2 linked regions of the Notamacropus eugenii genome follow. The protein of the gene in region 1 binds, or shares a complex with, the protein of each later gene. Links are inferred from orthologs where the notes say so. Each region holds a gene or a part of one and is shown on either strand. Other genes may lie near its edges.

Evidence for each region.
Region 2: the proteins of non-homologous end joining factor IFFO1-like (region 1) and XRCC4 are in contact, whole or in part, in a crystal structure (PDB 6ABO), measured with the Homo sapiens proteins. The link is inferred for Notamacropus eugenii from reciprocal best matches to the Homo sapiens genes IFFO1 and XRCC4. Residues at the interface, in NP_001317253.1 of Homo sapiens: Arg469, Glu470, Tyr473, Ile477, Gln479, Ile480, Glu481, Glu483, Leu484, Ala487, Lys488, Asp490, Met491, Arg493, His494, Leu495, Tyr498, Met501, Lys505, Leu508, Asp509, Met512, Cys515, Arg516, Leu518, Ile519, Thr520, Gln521; in NP_001304941.1 of Homo sapiens: Trp155, Val158, Gln159, Phe162, Glu163, Cys165, Val166, Lys169, Glu170, Glu173, Leu176, Tyr177, Phe180, Val183, Leu184, Lys187, Lys188, Lys190, Ile191, Leu194, His195, Lys197, Leu198, Ala201, Ala202, Arg205, Glu212.

What each region holds. Positions count from the first base shown.
Region 1 is NC_092874.1:194,837,730-194,846,099, forward strand, and holds the start of non-homologous end joining factor IFFO1-like, read right to left. Parts: upstream 3,787-8,370; 5' UTR 3,759-3,786; coding exon 2,956-3,758; intron 1-2,955. Other genes in the region: NOP2 (28S rRNA (cytosine(4447)-C(5))-methyltransferase), read right to left, coding at 4,449-4,774, 5,931-6,159, 6,279-6,401, 6,574-6,663, 6,871-7,010, 7,388-7,528, 7,816-7,903. UniProt on the Homo sapiens protein: Nuclear matrix protein involved in the immobilization of broken DNA ends and the suppression of chromosome translocation during DNA double-strand breaks (DSBs).
Region 2 is NC_092875.1:460,069,394-460,077,917, forward strand, and holds the start of XRCC4 (DNA repair protein XRCC4), read right to left. Parts: upstream 3,611-8,524; 5' UTR 3,478-3,610; intron 2,890-3,477; coding exon of another isoform or gene 2,887-2,889; exon of another isoform or gene 2,592-2,886; intron 2,369-2,591; exon of another isoform or gene 1,908-2,368; intron 1-1,907. Other genes in the region: TMEM167A (protein kish-A), read left to right, coding at 2,887-2,889.

The sequences.
Region 1 (8,370 bases):
CCCATGATCATAGTTACTGAAACAATTCTTGGAGCTGGAAAGGGCCTTGGACTTTTAATCCAAGCTTCCATTCCCTTCATGAATCCCCTCTACAACAATCCAGACAGAGAGGAACCCTTTATATGATGAGGAACACATTATTAGAAAGTTCTACTTTATGTGTGCCCATATTTAGGTCCCTACAATTTCTACCCACTGGTTTTATCTCTGGAGCAGTCACACAGAATAACTCTACCCTTTACTCTTAGAGAAGTACCAAGGCATACTGAGTGCTAGACAGCATCAGAAGGCCAGAATCCAAATTCCACATTAGACTCTTGACTAGTTGTAACACTGGACAAGCCATTCAATGTCTTTGGGCCTCTATTTCTTTATCTGTAAAAACAGGGAATAATGATAGCAGCTGGTTCACAAAGCTGATACATCTAAGAAAAGAATATTTTTCAAGTGCAATGCAAATCTTAAAGTGCTATTATTACTGCTACCACAGAACATTGCTCCCCTCCTGAGCAACCAGTAGTAGAAGCATCTTTTGGAGATGTCTGGAGATAAGAATCAAAAAAGCAGCTTACATTTGTAGAGCAACTTTAAGGTTTGGCAAGTCTTTCACAACCCCGTGAAGTAGACACTATTGGTATTATTGGTACCCTGTTACTAGATAAGGAAACTAACATTCTGAAAGGTAAAGTGACTTGTCTGTGGCCACACAGTGTCAGGAGTTTGTTCAACTGTTCCTCAAGAGGCACTTTAAAGGCCTGTACTGTTTTGATTAATTTCAGTGTACCCCGTTCTCATTTACAATGTGGGTTCCTATGTAGAGTTTTAGAATTAGGCTCTGTGATGAGTTTCTATTTCCCTCTAAACACCTGTCTTCTTTTTTTTTAAACACCTGTCCTCTAAAGAGGTCTGTGTAAAGCACTGTTCAGAGAGAGCTTTACTGATCCCTGAGCTGAAAAAAGAGCAGGGATTATTTTCTCCATTTTAAAATGGAAAAAAAACCCAACTAAGGCTCAGAGAGAGGAAAAGCTCCTTCTCAGGTCACACAATTCTAAAGCTGAAAATAGAACCCAGGAGGCCTCAACTATTAGTTCAACGTGTATGCATCCTCTGCCTCCCAGACTGGGACCTGAATTAGAGAAACATTCTGAGGTCTCATATAAAGAGGACAAAAAACGGCAGAAGGTTTAGGACAAAAGAATGTACGTCAAATATCAAACAATGCTGGGCACGTCAGGGTACTGCAGTGTTATGAGCGAAGCTTTCCCCAAGGGATAATAACTCTTTGCTGCCTTAGACATCTGGACCAAGGACAAACCACTCTGGACCTTCTCCCACCCTCAAAAAAAAGCCAAACCCACACACATTTCCAGAGAATACCAATAGTCCCTGTGGTTATGGATGGACCCATCCAAAATTTTTCTCCTCTTCCATAACTTACTGCAATTATACTAATCTTAAATTATATTTTACTAGGATCTCAAAGTGAATAAGTTCCTAAGGACACTTATCCAGCATAGGTTTTCCCCTATGCTGGCCTCCCTTATAGGAGGTCAGAACTAGATCTGCAAAAGGGTGGGGAACGGCAGAAGAGGGTTCAATGAAAAAGCTGATCCTTTCCAGGCCAACTGAAAATCCTATTTATGACTTAGCTCTTCTTCAGGTCATACACATCCCAAATAGAAATTCATGAACATATTCAGTGATATCCATACCTATCACTTCACCAATCATCAACAAGCCCTGCCATACAGAAATGCTCTTTGTAAACCTTAAACTTTGAGATAAGTCAAAAACAACAACACAGTGGCCATTCTTGACCTGCATGTGAGGAACGACTAGTGGTAAAAACACTGTGGAAACCTAAAATAACAAAATTTCCCCCAACCAACATCTCTTTCTTCCCCAGTGATATATAATGCTGAAACTATCATCACTTCTTAGCCATACACTGCACTAAGCATATTTACTTTCCTTCTCCTCTGCTGGTTTCTGGTTTTGTTCTTTTGAGAGAATCAGGTTATGGGGTTCTATGGGCATCTTCCCAACTTGTATGACCCTCATCTGACACTCCCACCCCTGACTTCATTTCTCTATGCTCATAGGGTGTGTCCACATGGAATCTTACCAACTTTTTCTAACTTGGCCCTTTCTTCAGCTTCAATGTTTGTCTCTCTCCAGGCAAAGCCTCTATTTCCCCCATAACAAATCTGTTCTTTCAGGAGGGAATATTCCTTATAATCCCTATTACTTACCCCACCTTGGTTGATCCTTGGTTGATCCTTGTTTAAAAGTTTCCTCTGGCCGTGTAGACCTACCACATGGGAACCCAGCTGGCAGGTGTCCCAGTATCCTCAGACCCCTCTTTGGGAAATACATCCACATCCCCCCACATCCACCTTCCCAAATGATAACATTTATAGCCTGCAAGATAAGGCAGATCTCTTATGCCATTAACTTTTGTCCCCTGAACACAAAGTACTTTTCCCCAAGTTGCTCACAAGAATAACCAAAAAGACTGATAAGGGGAAAAAGAAAACCCCACACAAACATTTCCCTGGCTCATCTCCCTAGTCACACCCAGTTAAGATCCCAGTTAGGGTAACCCTCTAAACACTGCAACATGAAGGGGAGGGGAAGTAAAGACAAGGAAAAAAATTAAGCTTCTCACACATAACTTCCCTCCTGACATGACTTTCTTCCCTGTACGACCTTCCTGAAATTGGGGCTGCTCCCTGAGTCCTCCGGATTCTGGAAAGATCTCTTCTTTTGGGGGGAGGGAGACCTGGCTGCCTCTCCCTGGTCCACATCTCCCTGGACTCCCCTCACGCCACCCTCACCCCGAAACTTTCATTGTTTTCTCTAAAGTCCTCTGGTTGGAACCCCTCAATGCCAATGCCGCGGTGCCCCGAGCCCAGGGCCCACCCGTCGGCCCGGCCCCACCTCCCCCAGCCTCACCTCCGCTTGTACTCGTCCCGCTCCCGCTTCACCTTGGCCAGTACGTTATAGAGGGCCCGGATCTCGGGTGTGATGGTGTCGATCTGCACCCCCACGCCGTCGGGGTGCACCCACGACAGGCCAGGCCCCTGCACCAAGGTGGGCTCCAGTCCCGGCCCGAGCCTGCGGGCGTGCGAGAAGGACCAGATGGTGCCGGGCATGAAGCGGGCCGACGAGGAGTAGGGGGTGGATGTGGCCGCGGAGTGGGACGGGACAGACGCCGGGGCTGGGGCGAGCGCGCTGGCGGGAGACGACGAGAGACCCGAAGCTGTGGGCGCCAGCGGGCCTCGCGAGGCGGGCCAGGCCCCGAGGGGCAGCCCCGGGGGCCGGATGGGGCTGATGAAGCCGGTCTGCACGGCCTGGTCGCGGCGCCCCGGACCCCGCCGGCCCTGCGGCCCATCTTCCAGCGCCTGCTGCAGCTGCTTCTCCAGCAGCCGGTTGCGCCGCTCCAGCTCGTGCACCTTGGCCAGGAAGCAGCGGAAGCGCAGGTTGAGCGTCTTGAGCACGTTGATGTTAGAGCCCAGGTCGTTGCGGAGGGCCATGGCGGCGGGCGGCGGCGAGGGCGCCGGGCCCGGGCCGGCCAGTGCCAGCGGCTCCCACGGGGGGATGCCCGGGGGGGCCGCCGCCGCCGCAGGGCCCGCAGGCAGCTCCCCTCCCCCGCCCAGGTAGTCGCCGCCCCCCAGCGAGGGTCCCCCGAGCGGCCCAGCCAGACCCTGCTGCTCTTGCTGGAGGAGGAAAAGATTGGGGCCGAATAACGGGTTCATGGCCGCACCGCTTCTCCGCCTCGAGATGGAGACCGGCGCGGGGCGGGGAGCCGGCCCGGACAGGGAGCCAATGAGAAGACAGGATAGGGGCGGGGCCACGGAGCGAGCCAATGAAAGGGCGGGCGGGGCAACCCAAGTGAGCGTCAGGCCGACCGGAGGAGGAGACCGGCCCGAGTGCGGGCAGCAGACTCAGACCGCTAGTGGGGAGGGAGCTTTTTTGCCAAGGCTGGCGTGCAGGGGCCCGCACGGCCCAAGCCACCCGGCGCCCGTCTGTGGTAGCCCCGCGCCGCTCCGAGGCAGCCTCTGGGAAAGCCCAGGCCCAGGAGCAAAGCTGGAGACCGGCCAGACTAGCGCAGACACTGGCGTGGGCAGCGCCCCGTCCCTAAGGAGGGGGCTTTCCTTTACAAAGCTCCCGCCACCACCCCGGAGGTGAAGTGACCACCCAACCTCGGCCACTCCCACCACCCCACCCCCGAAGGCGCGGGCAGGACAACGCACAAACCAAACCAATGAGGAGCCTCACACTGCAGCCAGAGGTGGGGATGGGTACATTTATGTGTATACAAGGGGAAGGGGCAGGGGAAGGTTAATTGGACTGTGTCTACGTCAGACAGAGGTGAGGCCAAGCTCCTCAAAGAAGCTCACAGTCACACCAGTCTGGTAGTTCAAGACCCCACAGTGGCTACTGTGTCAGGACTGAGATTTCTGCTTCTTCCTAGGTGGGGGCCCGCTGGAACTAGGAGTCCTTGCAGTAGGTGGCCGAGGACCCCTGTGGACAGGCTTCCCATTCTGAAAAACAGTCTTCTTAGGGGGCGGCTGCTGTTGCTTCACCTCTGCCTCCCCAGCTTCCCGATGCATTTTTCCCTTCTTGGTCTCTAGCTTCACCTTTGTCTTTCCAGCTTGCTTGGTCTTCTTGACAAGCTTAGGACTGATTTTAGGTTGGGGCACCACCTTGGCTTTAGCTGCAGAAGGCCTGTCAGTGGGTCTGGAGTCTGGGGGGTCAGCTGCTGCATCACCTGGATTGGAGTGAAATGGTTACAGGACATTAGATTGATAAAGTAGGAAAAACCAACATAGGCCAGTTTGAAGCGAAGTACAACAAAGGAGTCAACAACGCAGGTAACTGAAGCATGACATTTTAGACCTATTCCCTTAAGCCACCATAAATAGTACTATCTGTACCCTCCTTTATGTTTCCTTCTGTACTGCAATGACTTTTTGCAAAGGGGACTAAAATGATCTAAAAAAAAAAAAATAAACTCCCATAAGTTTTTGGACCTCCTGGGACATTTCTCAGTATTCAAACCAATGACCTGGCTTTTGAAGATACTATCTTTCCTCCTGAGAGCTGGGCCTCCTTGTCAAAATGTTCAAGAAAATAATGATTTCAAAGTATCATGAATAAATCAGAGACAACATGATTTAAGGCGTAGAAAGTTCACTAGGCAACTCTCTTGGACCACGAGAGGCAGAGATGGAAGAGGGAGTTTCCTTATTCCACAGTTCCCCTTGACCAATGTAAATCTCAGGTCTTGCCCTTATCTCTTCAGAATTTAGATATTCTCAAAAATAGATGGGCCTGCCTCCTGCAGACAGCTGTCAGCCACAAGTGCCCATTTATCCAGTAAAAAAAAAAAAAAAGACAACCCAGAAGAGAAGGGAAACACAAATCTCACTCTTGTGATTCAATGTAAACAAGACAAGTACAGCCATCTGGTTTGGGAAGGGGGAGAAGTAAAATTCCATTCTGTTTGAGATTCCTACCTTGAAAGGCACTAATCTAGGAGTCTGCTCTAGATGATCAGACTATGCTAGTTCTACTCAGTAATCCACCAAGGTAAAGCCTAGCATCTCACTGTTTAACTCCACACATCTTCTGGTCTAGTTTTGAATCTTTTCTAGCTGTATGAATGTGAGGAAAACATTTAACCATTCTTGAGCCTTAGTTTCCTGACTAAAATGGTGATACCTTTAAACCCCTACCTTTTATCACCTAAAGCACTATTATAGAAATTATTAAGAATAAAGCACACCAAGAAGAATTTTTTCAATCAAAAAGGACAGGGAGTAGAATGCATACAGGGGAGGTTTCCTAGTAAGAGACACAGGGAAATGGGTCATAACTCTGTGGGCAGAGAGAACTTGAACAAATGAGAGACAGAGATTTCTTACTTTTCTTAGACTGAGGTATAGCATTGGAAAACTTCTTGAACTTGGCAATGAAGAAGCCATCCATATTGTGTGTATGGGGATAGAAACGTCGGGTAGATCGGAGGGTGGGATGGAATCGATGTTCTCTGAAATGGGTAAAGCCCTCCTGGCCAAAGTCCAGCCCCGTTGGCACCAGCCGCACATTCCTCTTCTTCAGGGCATACTCTACCACCAATTCATTTTCTTCTACCTGAGGGGTAAGATGACATCAGGGATAAGAGGAAAGAATAGGAGAAAGTCTTAGCTGAAAGAGTCTCAAGAAATAAGTATCCCCCTCCTCTTCTGCCCACACTCCAACAGAAGCCTTACCGTAATGGAGCAAGTGCAGTAGACAATGTAGCCTCCAGTTTTGGAAGTAGCATTAACAGAATCAATAGCACTCAGGAGCAATTCCTTTTGGATATGGGCACATCTCTTGATGTCTTTCTCATCCTTTTCAGAAAATAGGAGGAAGAAAAAGTTATAGTGTTTAAACAGACTATCCTCCCTAAATCAGTTACCATGCCTAAGATGACATTTCCCATGCCAGATTCCTCCCCTTCCAGGCCGATACCCTCCTCCCTCCAAAATGTCTACCCTGCCCCTTTTTCCTCCTCCTCATCACCTTGTTGGTCTTCACAGATGGGTCCTTAGAGATGATACCAGTGCCACTACACGGGGCATCAAGCAGCACCCGATCAAAGCCTCCTACTACCTGGGCAGAAAGAAGATGAAGAGGTGGTCAAAGGAACTTCTCCCTATTCAAAATGGCTTCACACCCTGAGCTCCTATAGACACAAGATGTATTTACTACCAAAGTTAAATATAGATGCCTGGAAAGGTGCTAGTGGGAGAGGGTGGTGGTGGTAGTGAAGAGATTGGGAAATATAAGACAAGAAACAATGGCAGCTCTAAGTCTAACCTTAGGGAAATGACGTCCATCATCATGGCTGATGATTGTGTTGGTGACCCCCAACCGGTGCAGATTGCCGACAACACTCTTGAGGCGATCAGCATTAGCATCATTGGCAAGGATCACTCCTGTGTTCTTCATCAGTTGGGCTGTAGTAGGTGAAAGGCCATCACCCTTCAGTTTGTACCCCTCTCCCTACACCAACTACCTGCCCTGCTCACCTTGTTACTAGCTCTACGCAGTAACTCACTAAGTTAAAGCCTAGCATCTCGCTGTTTAACGCCACACAGAGTCATCCAATATTTCTCAACTCAACATCTTAGATGACTGTGTTCCCACTTACCACCCCTATAGTAAAATAAATATTAACACTGTGGGTTGGATTTTCACTTTTACTGAAATATTTTCTGGCTGGCAAACTAGTCCCAGGCACCCATGGGCTCACCTTACCCCCAAAGACAGAATACTGAATCAAAGTGCACTTCCTAGGCTAAATGAAAATGTCCCTGTTCTGCCACTTCCCTACCTATATAGCTAGTCTTGCCACCAGGGGCACAACACATATCCAAAATACGCTCATGTTCCTGTGGTGCCAAGGCAATGACAGGCAGCATACTGGAAGCGCCTTGAAGGATGTAGTGCCCCGCCAAGTACTCTGGAGTAGCCCCTGAGAAGACAAGAAAGAGGTAGAGAAGGGTTGCATCAGTGGGATTCTACAAACATAAAGCACCTATGTAAACAACACGGGGGTTACACGTGAAAAGACAGGAGCTGACAACCTTGTGTAAGAGTGAGAGATGTACACAAAAATCTGCGATGCAAGTTAGAAGAAGACCAGGGCACTGAGGGAGAAGAGAAGTCCCTTGTACCTTTCTAGAAATAGGGAAATGCTTGTACAAACAGAGAAGCAGGAAAGGGTAGGAAAAGGTCAGGGAAACAGGAGAAGCTACTCACCAATGGGCACAGAAGAGTCATACACCACCAGTCCAGTTTTTGACCATTTACCCAAGGGATCCAGATTCACCCCTCGATTGATCAAGGCCTGAAGAGGAAAGATCACGTCAGGGTTGCAGACACTGCAACTTCCAGGGCAGGGGAAAGGCCACCAAAGTAGCCGTGGGGGTGGAAATGTGGCTCTAACAATGAGACACTAGCAGCATACTTCATATTCACATCAGAAAACCCACTCCACCTATTATCTCCTTCATTTTGTCTCTTTGGTCTTAACCTGCATCCCAACATAGAGATGTTCAACATTTTGACGGTAGTGATTTTTTCCCAGAGGCAATCTGTTGACACAAACACAGTGCTATGCATACAGAAAGCACTTTTTAAAAATTGAACTCAATTAATTGAGCAACCTGAGTCCCTATTCCATTCCTTCCTAAAGAAATCATTCATTCTCAAGAATACTCAAGATACTTAGGCCATACCAGTGTCTTTACCAAAAGCATCACTAATAACCTGTTGCAGGTTTCAGTGATGTCCAATAATGTACTGAATCACCCA
Region 2 (8,524 bases), on another chromosome or scaffold:
GCTATAAATATTTGTACAGATAAGTCCTTCTCCCCCCACACCCCTTTTCTTTAAATCTCTTTGGGATACAGGCTTCATAGTGATATTGCTGGATCAAAGAGAATACACAATTTGATTGCCCTTTGGGCATACTTCCCAATTGCTCTCCAGAACAGGCAGATCAGTTCACAATTCCACCAATGCATTAGTGTCCCGGTTTTCCCTTCAACACTTATCATAATTTTTCTATCATGTTAGTCAGTCCGATATATATGAGATGGTACCTCAGAGCTGTTATGATTTGCATTTCTCTAATTTATAGTGATTTAGAGCATCTTTTTTCATATGACTATAGATAACTGATTTCTTCATCTGAAAAATTCTTGTTCTTATCCTTTGATCATTTATCAGTTGGGGAATGACATGTTTTGACTCAGTTTTTTATACATTGAAGAAATCAGGCCTTTATCAGATACACTTGCTATAAAATTTTTTTTCCATCATTCTGCACTCCTTTTAATTTTGGTTGCACTGATTTTGTTTGTGCAAAAGAAATATTTTTAATCTAATCAAAATTATCCATTTTACATCTCATAATGCTCTCTACCATGTTTGGACATAAATTCTTCCCTTTTTCTTAGAAGTGATAAACTATTCTTTCATCTCCTAATTTGTTTATGGCAACACTCTTTACGTCTATATCATGTACTCATTTTGACCTTATCTTAGTAAAAGATACAAGATGTTGGTGTATCCTTAGTTTCTGCCTTACCACTTTTCAATTTTCCCAGCAGTTTTTTGTCAAATAGTGAGCTCTTGCCCCAAAAGCTTAGTTCCTTGGGTTTATCAAACACTAGATTACTATAGTACTGTGTACCTAATCTGTTCCACTGATCCACCACTCTTATTTCTTAGCCAGTACCAAAATGTTTTGATAATTACCGCTTTATAATATGGTGTGATATCTGGTAGGGCTAGGCCACCTTCCTTTGCATTTTTTTCATTAATTCCCTTGATATTCTTCACCTTTTGTTCTTCCAAATGAATTATTATTTTTTCTAGCTCTATTATTTTTTGGCAGTTTGGTTAACATAGCACTGAACAAGTAATTCTCACTCTCTTCTAAACCCACTGCAATCTGGCTTCCAAATACATCATTCAAGTAAAACTTTTCTCCAGTTGCCAATGATTTCTTAATTGCCAAATCTAATCTTTCCTGTTTTCATCCTTCTTGACCTCTCTACCACATGTGACACTGTTGGTAACTTCCTTCTTTTTCATACTCTCCTAAGTTTTCATACCTTGCTCTCTCCTGTTTCTTCTCCTTCCTTCACTCTTCAATCTCCTTTGCTGGATTTCCGTCCCTTACTTCTACTAAATGTGGGTATCCCTCACATCTCTGTCCTGAGCTCTCTATACAATCTCACTTGTTGATCTTCATCAGCATCCATGGATTCAATTTTCAGCCTTGCAGATAATTCCCAGATCTATATATACAGCCCTCAGTTATCTCCATAGCTCCACTTCCACATTTTGAACTGGATGTGCTAAAGGCGTCTCAAACTCAACGTATCTAAAACTAAGTTATCTTTCCCCCTAAAATCCACATCTTCTGAAATTCCTTATAACTGTTGAGGACACTACCAGCTTCCTAGTCCCTCAAGTTTGCAAGCTCAAAGCCATTCTAGACTTTATCCCTCTCAATCATGTCCCCACCCCACTGCCAAACCCTGTCATTTCTTCTTCTACATTATTTGTCACCCCCTTCTCTCGACTTCCTATTACCCGTAGGATCGAATAAAGTCTTCTGTTTGGCAACCAAAGCAATTCATATGTCGGTTCTTTTCTGCTTTACTTCACTACCGTCCCGGAACTGAATGATCCAGCCATGCTGGCTTTCTTGGGGTTCCTCCCACAGAACACCCTACCTTCCATCTCAGTGTCTCCACCCGAGCGGTCCCCACGCTGGAAATATTCTCCTTTCTCACCTAGATCCCTAGATTGTCCTGCAGCTCAAACGTTCTGCAGGATCTCCATTCCCTGGGGCCATCAGCCCCAAGCCTCTGGGATTTCTCTCCACGCACGCCGCAGAGCTCTTAAATGTAGCTAGTCATGGATACATTGTAGTCATGGATATATTGTTTCTACACGCGCCTTGGAGCTATTTCAGGGCAAGAACCACAGAACTTGGGGGTGGTTTCTACGTATCTCGGGTCTTAGCCACAACGACGGGCCTACAGTAAGTGCTTAAAAAATTGCTTAATTCCTCTGCCCTACGATTCGCCCACACCTGACCGGGATCTCAACCAATTAAATCTCTCCTTAAACTCTCTAATTCCGCCCCCCTCCCCCCGGCCTGGATTCCGAAGCCCGGAGGGAAGAATGAGGCCAGCCCAGGGGAATAAGGGGAAAGGACTCTGCCCAGGCCCGGAGAAGACTGGGGCTGCTGACGCTTTCCGAAGCAGAGGGAGGGGCAGCGAAGAATGGGAAGCCAGCTCGAGAAGGAGCTGGAGGGACTGGGGAAATAAACTGGGGCAGCCCCCGGGAGTCCAAACCCGACGGCGATCAGCAAAGACCAGGCTCGCTGGGACACCCCCGCTTCCGGGCCCTACCTCGTTCAGAGCCTCCACTTCCGGCTTCCTCCAAAAGGCCCGCTCCCGAGGCAGAAAGAGCCGCGGCCAATCAGAAGGGCCCTTCTCCCATGGCGTCACTACCCGAGCGGCCCCTCCCCTCCATTCTCGACCAACCGCGCCGCCGCAGCCTCGCAGCGCGTGAAGCGCTTTCCTACCTCGGACCAATCATCGGGAAGCGTGGGGAACGAGGCCAGACGGAGGGGGCGGGGCCCAACGCCTCTTCCGCCCGTTGCCCCGGAAGGGTGATGTGGCTGGGGGTAGCGGAGGTCTCACTATGGTAAGACCCGGCGCTCGGGGCTGACTTGGTGCGGGCGGTGGGCAGGGGGTGGCCCCGAGGCACGGGGGTGACGGGACCCGGGGCGGGCTCCGGTGCGCAGACGGGGAGACCCGCGAGGGGAGGCAGCGAGGTGCCCCTCCCCGAACCCCCGAACGAAGGGTTTCTGGAAAGGGTAGAAAAGAGAGGGCCGAGAGACGGGGAGGGGGGCGGGGAGGAGAAGGACGAGGAGAAGCCCCCCGCGCCCGGCTACCGGCGTCCCAGAGCGCCGGCGGAGCGCGGGGCCCGGCGCTGCCCAGAGATGCCCCCCGCCCGCGGAGGCCTTTAAAAATAGCCGCTGAGAGCGTCCCCGGCCCGGTGGGAGAGGCCCGATCGTGGCGCGGTTTGTCTTCGGGGCTTTAGGCTCCCGGGTTTTCTCTGCCGGTTTTCCTTTCCCGTCCTCACCCGGGCACCGTCTAGGGAAGACTTTTCAGGCCCCAGCGCGGGCTGAAAGAGCTATTTGTTTGTACCATCCCCCCACAGGCAGTGGTGCACCCCCAAGGTGTCCGTCACTGAAGTGACCTTGCCTGCCTGCCCCCCAAACCTGCTTACGTAAAAGGTGAAGCCTCCTTAGGGGACGCCTCATCTGGAAGTGACGTCAAAATAAATCTTGAACCGATGAAGGCATAACAAGTATTTGAGTGGTGGGAGGATCTCATATGAAGCTTCTTATACGTAGTATTTGTCAGTTAGATTAAACACCAAAAGATTTTGCTGTGTATTTGCCCCATCTCTGACTCCCACTGGATGTGTGACCCCCGGTGTCTCCAAAGGAACTGAAAAATACCGTAAATTACATAGCTGGTACTGCTCTAGATTGGCAGAGGGAGTTTCCTTACTAGAAATTAATTCCCTGTTCAGCCAATGAAATCTTTGTTTGTTTTTTAAAGCCAACATATTTACAAAAGAAGGCTTCAATCCTTGTAACCTGAAAAGTTGTCCTGACTCCAGCCAGTACCGTACCTTGGGTAGAAGTTCAGCATTTCCAGTTTAATAGCTAAATAGTGAGTCCTGACTATTTTTTTCTACCCAGATTTTACATTGCTAGATACACTATTGTAGGTTAAGATTCTCTGTGATGATAAATAAACTTGATCCTCTAACAGATTTAAAGGTAGCTCTGGGAAGTTGTCTAGTGGTTGACTTTTTTTTAAAAAATTGCAATTCTAAACTTGACACAGCTTAAGAAAGAAATAGAATTGTATATGAAGCTTTGAATATCGTTATGAATCACTTGTTTGTTTTTCTTTAATTCAGCATGTTCCAAAGCTGCTTTGCTTGTCGGTGTTTCTCTGAACCTCTTTGCATTTTCTTTCAGTGCTTCTCTTGTGCTCTTGTATTTTTTGACATTGCTATTACCATTCTCATTCTCTCCCCCACGGAGCAAACAAACAAATATCTTGTTATATAACAAGTTAGCATAATCAGGTAAAAAGAAATCCACACATTGACCATCCCTGAATATGCACTTCTAGTCAGTTCTGTGAAGAGATGGGAAATCTGCCTTGTGGAGTCGTATGGTAGATGGGTATTGAATTGAAGAGAGTTAATAAATGCTTCAAAAGCTATTTTGCTTACAGTGGTGTAATGGTCATTGTATAAATTGACCTAGTGCTCACTGTGCTCTGTGTCAGTTCATAATAGCTTTCTCAGGTTTCTCTGAATCCATCCCTTTCATCATTTCTTCAGAACGTGGAATGTTCAGTTACATATAGCATAATTGTTCAACCATTTCACAGTTTACAGGAACTTAGTTTCCATTTTTTGCCACAATGAAGCATTGCTAGGAATATTTTGTATATATTTTGTTTAGTATTAGAGTTCCAGTTTTAGTGGCTTGAGTGATTTTAATCTGCCTTTTAGAATTGTTCAAGCAATTCATAGTCAGCAGTGTGTTAGTTTTCCTATCCTTCCCTGGCTCCTCAACTGTGTCATTTCCCTGTTTTCTCATTATTTGTCAGTCTGATTTTTATGAGGTGGCACCTCAGAATTATTTTAATTTGCTTTTCTCTAATTATTTCGAATATTTTATATAGTTAATTAATAACTTGATTTTATTGTTTTGCCTTTTCATATCCTTTAACAATATGTCAGTTTGGAAATGTATTTTGTTGTTGTATACTAGAATCAATTCTTTGTATATCTTGAATATTACACCTTTGTCAGAGAAATATCTGGCAATTTTTTTGCATTCTTTCCCTCTTAATTTTTGCTGCATTAATTTTGTACAAAGACTTTAATTCTGTGAAATCAGAAATGTCCATTTTATTACATGTGATCCTCTCTGTCCTTCATTGAGTCAAGAACTCTTCTCCTTTTCCATGTTTGTGAATGGAATTTTCTTCCATTTGCCCCAATTTGCTTATGATATGACTTTGTATTTCTAGGTCTTATAACTAATTGGAGTTTAATGTATTGTTTGGTGTAATATATTGTTTTCAACCTAATTTCTGCCAGACTGCTTTCCAATTTTCCCAGCAATTTTTGTCAGATAGTGAATGCATCCTCACTTTAGGAGTTGAAATCTTTGGGTTTATTAAACAGTAAACTATTATGATTGTTTTTGTCTTGTGTTCCTGTCTGTCCCACTGATCAACTTTTGTTGTTTTTAGCCATTACCAAATCGTCTTGATGACCTAGTACAGTTAAGCTTCTTCCTTTCCATTTTTTTTCATTATATCCCTTTAAATTTTAGATCTTTTTTGTTCCAGTCGCGTCAGACCTTCTGTGCCCCAAGTTTCAGGCCTTTTCATCTGAATTCATGCTGTTTTTCTTAGTCATACATCCCACTATCTTTTTGTACAGTCTTAGACTGGATGAAGGAGGTTACCGATGTTTCTTTTTGAATTTTTATGTCATCATTTAGTCTGCTGCCTTTTTTTACATCATTGCTGGAATATATGTGGAAGAGCTGGACTCCTCCTGCAACCTTTCATACTATCTTATCTTGAAGTCCTCTATTAACTCATTTTCTTACAAATATATATATATATACTTTTTTAACTAGGAAACAATTACTCTTTAATTCCACATTCATATGCAAGTAGAAGTTTTGTCTTTTGGCTCTTTTCATAGTGGGTAAAGATTGTACTTCTATTTACATTAGTTTAGTGTCATAATCTGAAAGAATTACGTAAATTATATCTAAATTTGATGTTACTTAAACCAAATAAGGCTGCTTCTCTGCTTGTCAACTTTTAAGATCCATGTGCTTAATAAAAATATGTGATTACAGTTAAAATATAATTTTGCCTTAGTGATTTTTTTTTTTTTTGCTGTCATATAAAAAAATATAGTAGTAAGATCCAGGTAGATAATGGAAACCTCAGTCAAGCTGTTAGTCTTTATTTTTTTTTTCCATTAGCATGGGATTGTCCAAATTAGGTAGGAGTGCATTTGGAGAGGTTCAAATAAGGAGGCTTCCAAATGGGCTCATGTAGTCATTCCTCAAGACTGAATCAGTGTCTAGGCATCTTCTTGAGTTTAACCCAGACACATTCCTTAGGTAACCTAGAGATAATTAATGTTATGAGTTTAGGAAATAGTTCAAAAAAGAGCTTAATTCTAGAAATGAATCAAAAATGGAATACTACATCCTGTGAAGTTGAATTTCTTTTCTGAGAGTCTCAGCTACAAAAGTTTATGTTATAGCAGAGGACACACCCACTTAATAAGAAGACAGAAGTACATTAATGTAGAGGAAAAGAAAGTTTTATGTATTTGGCAGTTCTAATATAAACATAGCCATAGGCTTAAAGGAGCTTAAAACTCTTTAACTAAGCCTTAAGAAGCCACATACAGCTAATGCATTTGCCACAACAATAAAAACTTCACCAGAATTAATAACCTTTGTTGCTTTTGATTAGTGTGATTAAAAAGTCTAAGTAAAAGTATTCAGACCAAAACTAAAAATTGTTAATAATGTTAGAATGTAAGTTCCTGGAGGACAGGGACTTTTGAATTTTGGTTTTGATTTCCCATTGTCTGCCACAGTGTTGAGCACATAAGAGGTTCATAATAACTTACTTAGTGATTAATTGACTGACTAGACCATGTGCCAACATAGCTAATTCCTTCAGGCCACATTTTGAGAAACAGTATGATCCAAAGCCGTGATTCCCAATTTGGGTTGACATTGTGCAATCATTTGATTTTATTTAAAGATCCCCATTTTCTTTCTCTGTTCTAGGGATATAAAGAGGATCCCTGTTCTCAAGGGTTCAGTGACCGTTATATAGCACCTGAAGACTTTTCATAGGTCTTCCTCAGATGAAGAAATAACTGTAATTATTTTCCTCACTTTACAGATGACAGAGCTGAGGTACAGAGAGGTTTATAGGACCATAAATTTAAAAGTGAAGGGGATGACCTAAGGTACCACTAACCCCCTCATTTTATTTTGCGATGAATCTTAAGGCCCAGGGCAGAAAAGGGTCATTTCATAAAGCTCAATGTCATACAGTTAATAAGTATCAGAGGTAGAATTCTTATCCAAGTCTCTCCTTACTCCAAAACTGTATCTTTTTACACTGTACTGTGTGTGTACATATTTTGATTTCCCAGATAATTTGGAGATATCCTGGACTGTTGGAAAAGCAGAGTTAAGAAGCACTGGATTTTACTAGATTTTTTTTTTTAAGAATTTATAACCCTGCCCATCCTTTTACAGACTATTCTTCATAGTCCTTCTATGTATTTCTTTAAAAAAAAAACCAAAACAAAACCCTGAATTATCTCAGCATTTGCAAAAACATCTTTTTTTAATACGCCCTACAAAAGAGATATTTCTCCTCTTCCTATCTTTTTTCCACCTTCACGCTCACTGAGAATCGAGATGTATATAACAGTATATAACTGCCCCTTTAAGTAGCAGCTGTTATAGGTCAGTGCCAGTAAATCTGGAGAATTCATCAGCTATGCCTCTTGATGACCCACATTTTAGCTTCTGACTATTTTTCACATAGAAGTGTTGAATGCAAATCTGAGGTTGGCCCCATCTCTAATAGTTCAACACGTAGCTATAATAAAGACTAACTCTACAGTTACTAAACAAAATATGCAGCGTCAAATGAACTACCACTGACTTTGTAACGCTTTGTCTGTAGCATAAAGTAATGCCAAGGATGCTATTCTCCTGCTCTTACTGTACTAAAACAATAAAATTTGTAGGATTATAGATTTAGAACTGGAAAGAGACCTTAACAAGCAGGCCCTCATTCTTTCTCATTGTAAGCTTAACAGTAATGGCTTTGTCACAGGCCGTTTTTTCTCCCAGTACCTACTATAGTGTGTTACACATGCAGCATGTTGCCTGTGACCTGTCACTAAAACCAATATTAAAGTCATTTACGACTCAATCATGTTTTAATATGTCTGAATTATTGTAAATTAGGAATTAGATTCTGATTTATACAACTTTAAGTCTACAGCCCTTTGACTTTATACTGTGGGTTAATTTGCATCTTGATAGACATTTGAACAAGTTTTTTTCTTTGTTTGGGGTTTGTTTTTTTTAAAGTACTGAAAAAAATCTACTTTCTCTCCCTCCCACCTTCCCCAAATCCTTGAAAAAGAAACATAAAAGCCCTTGTAACATGTG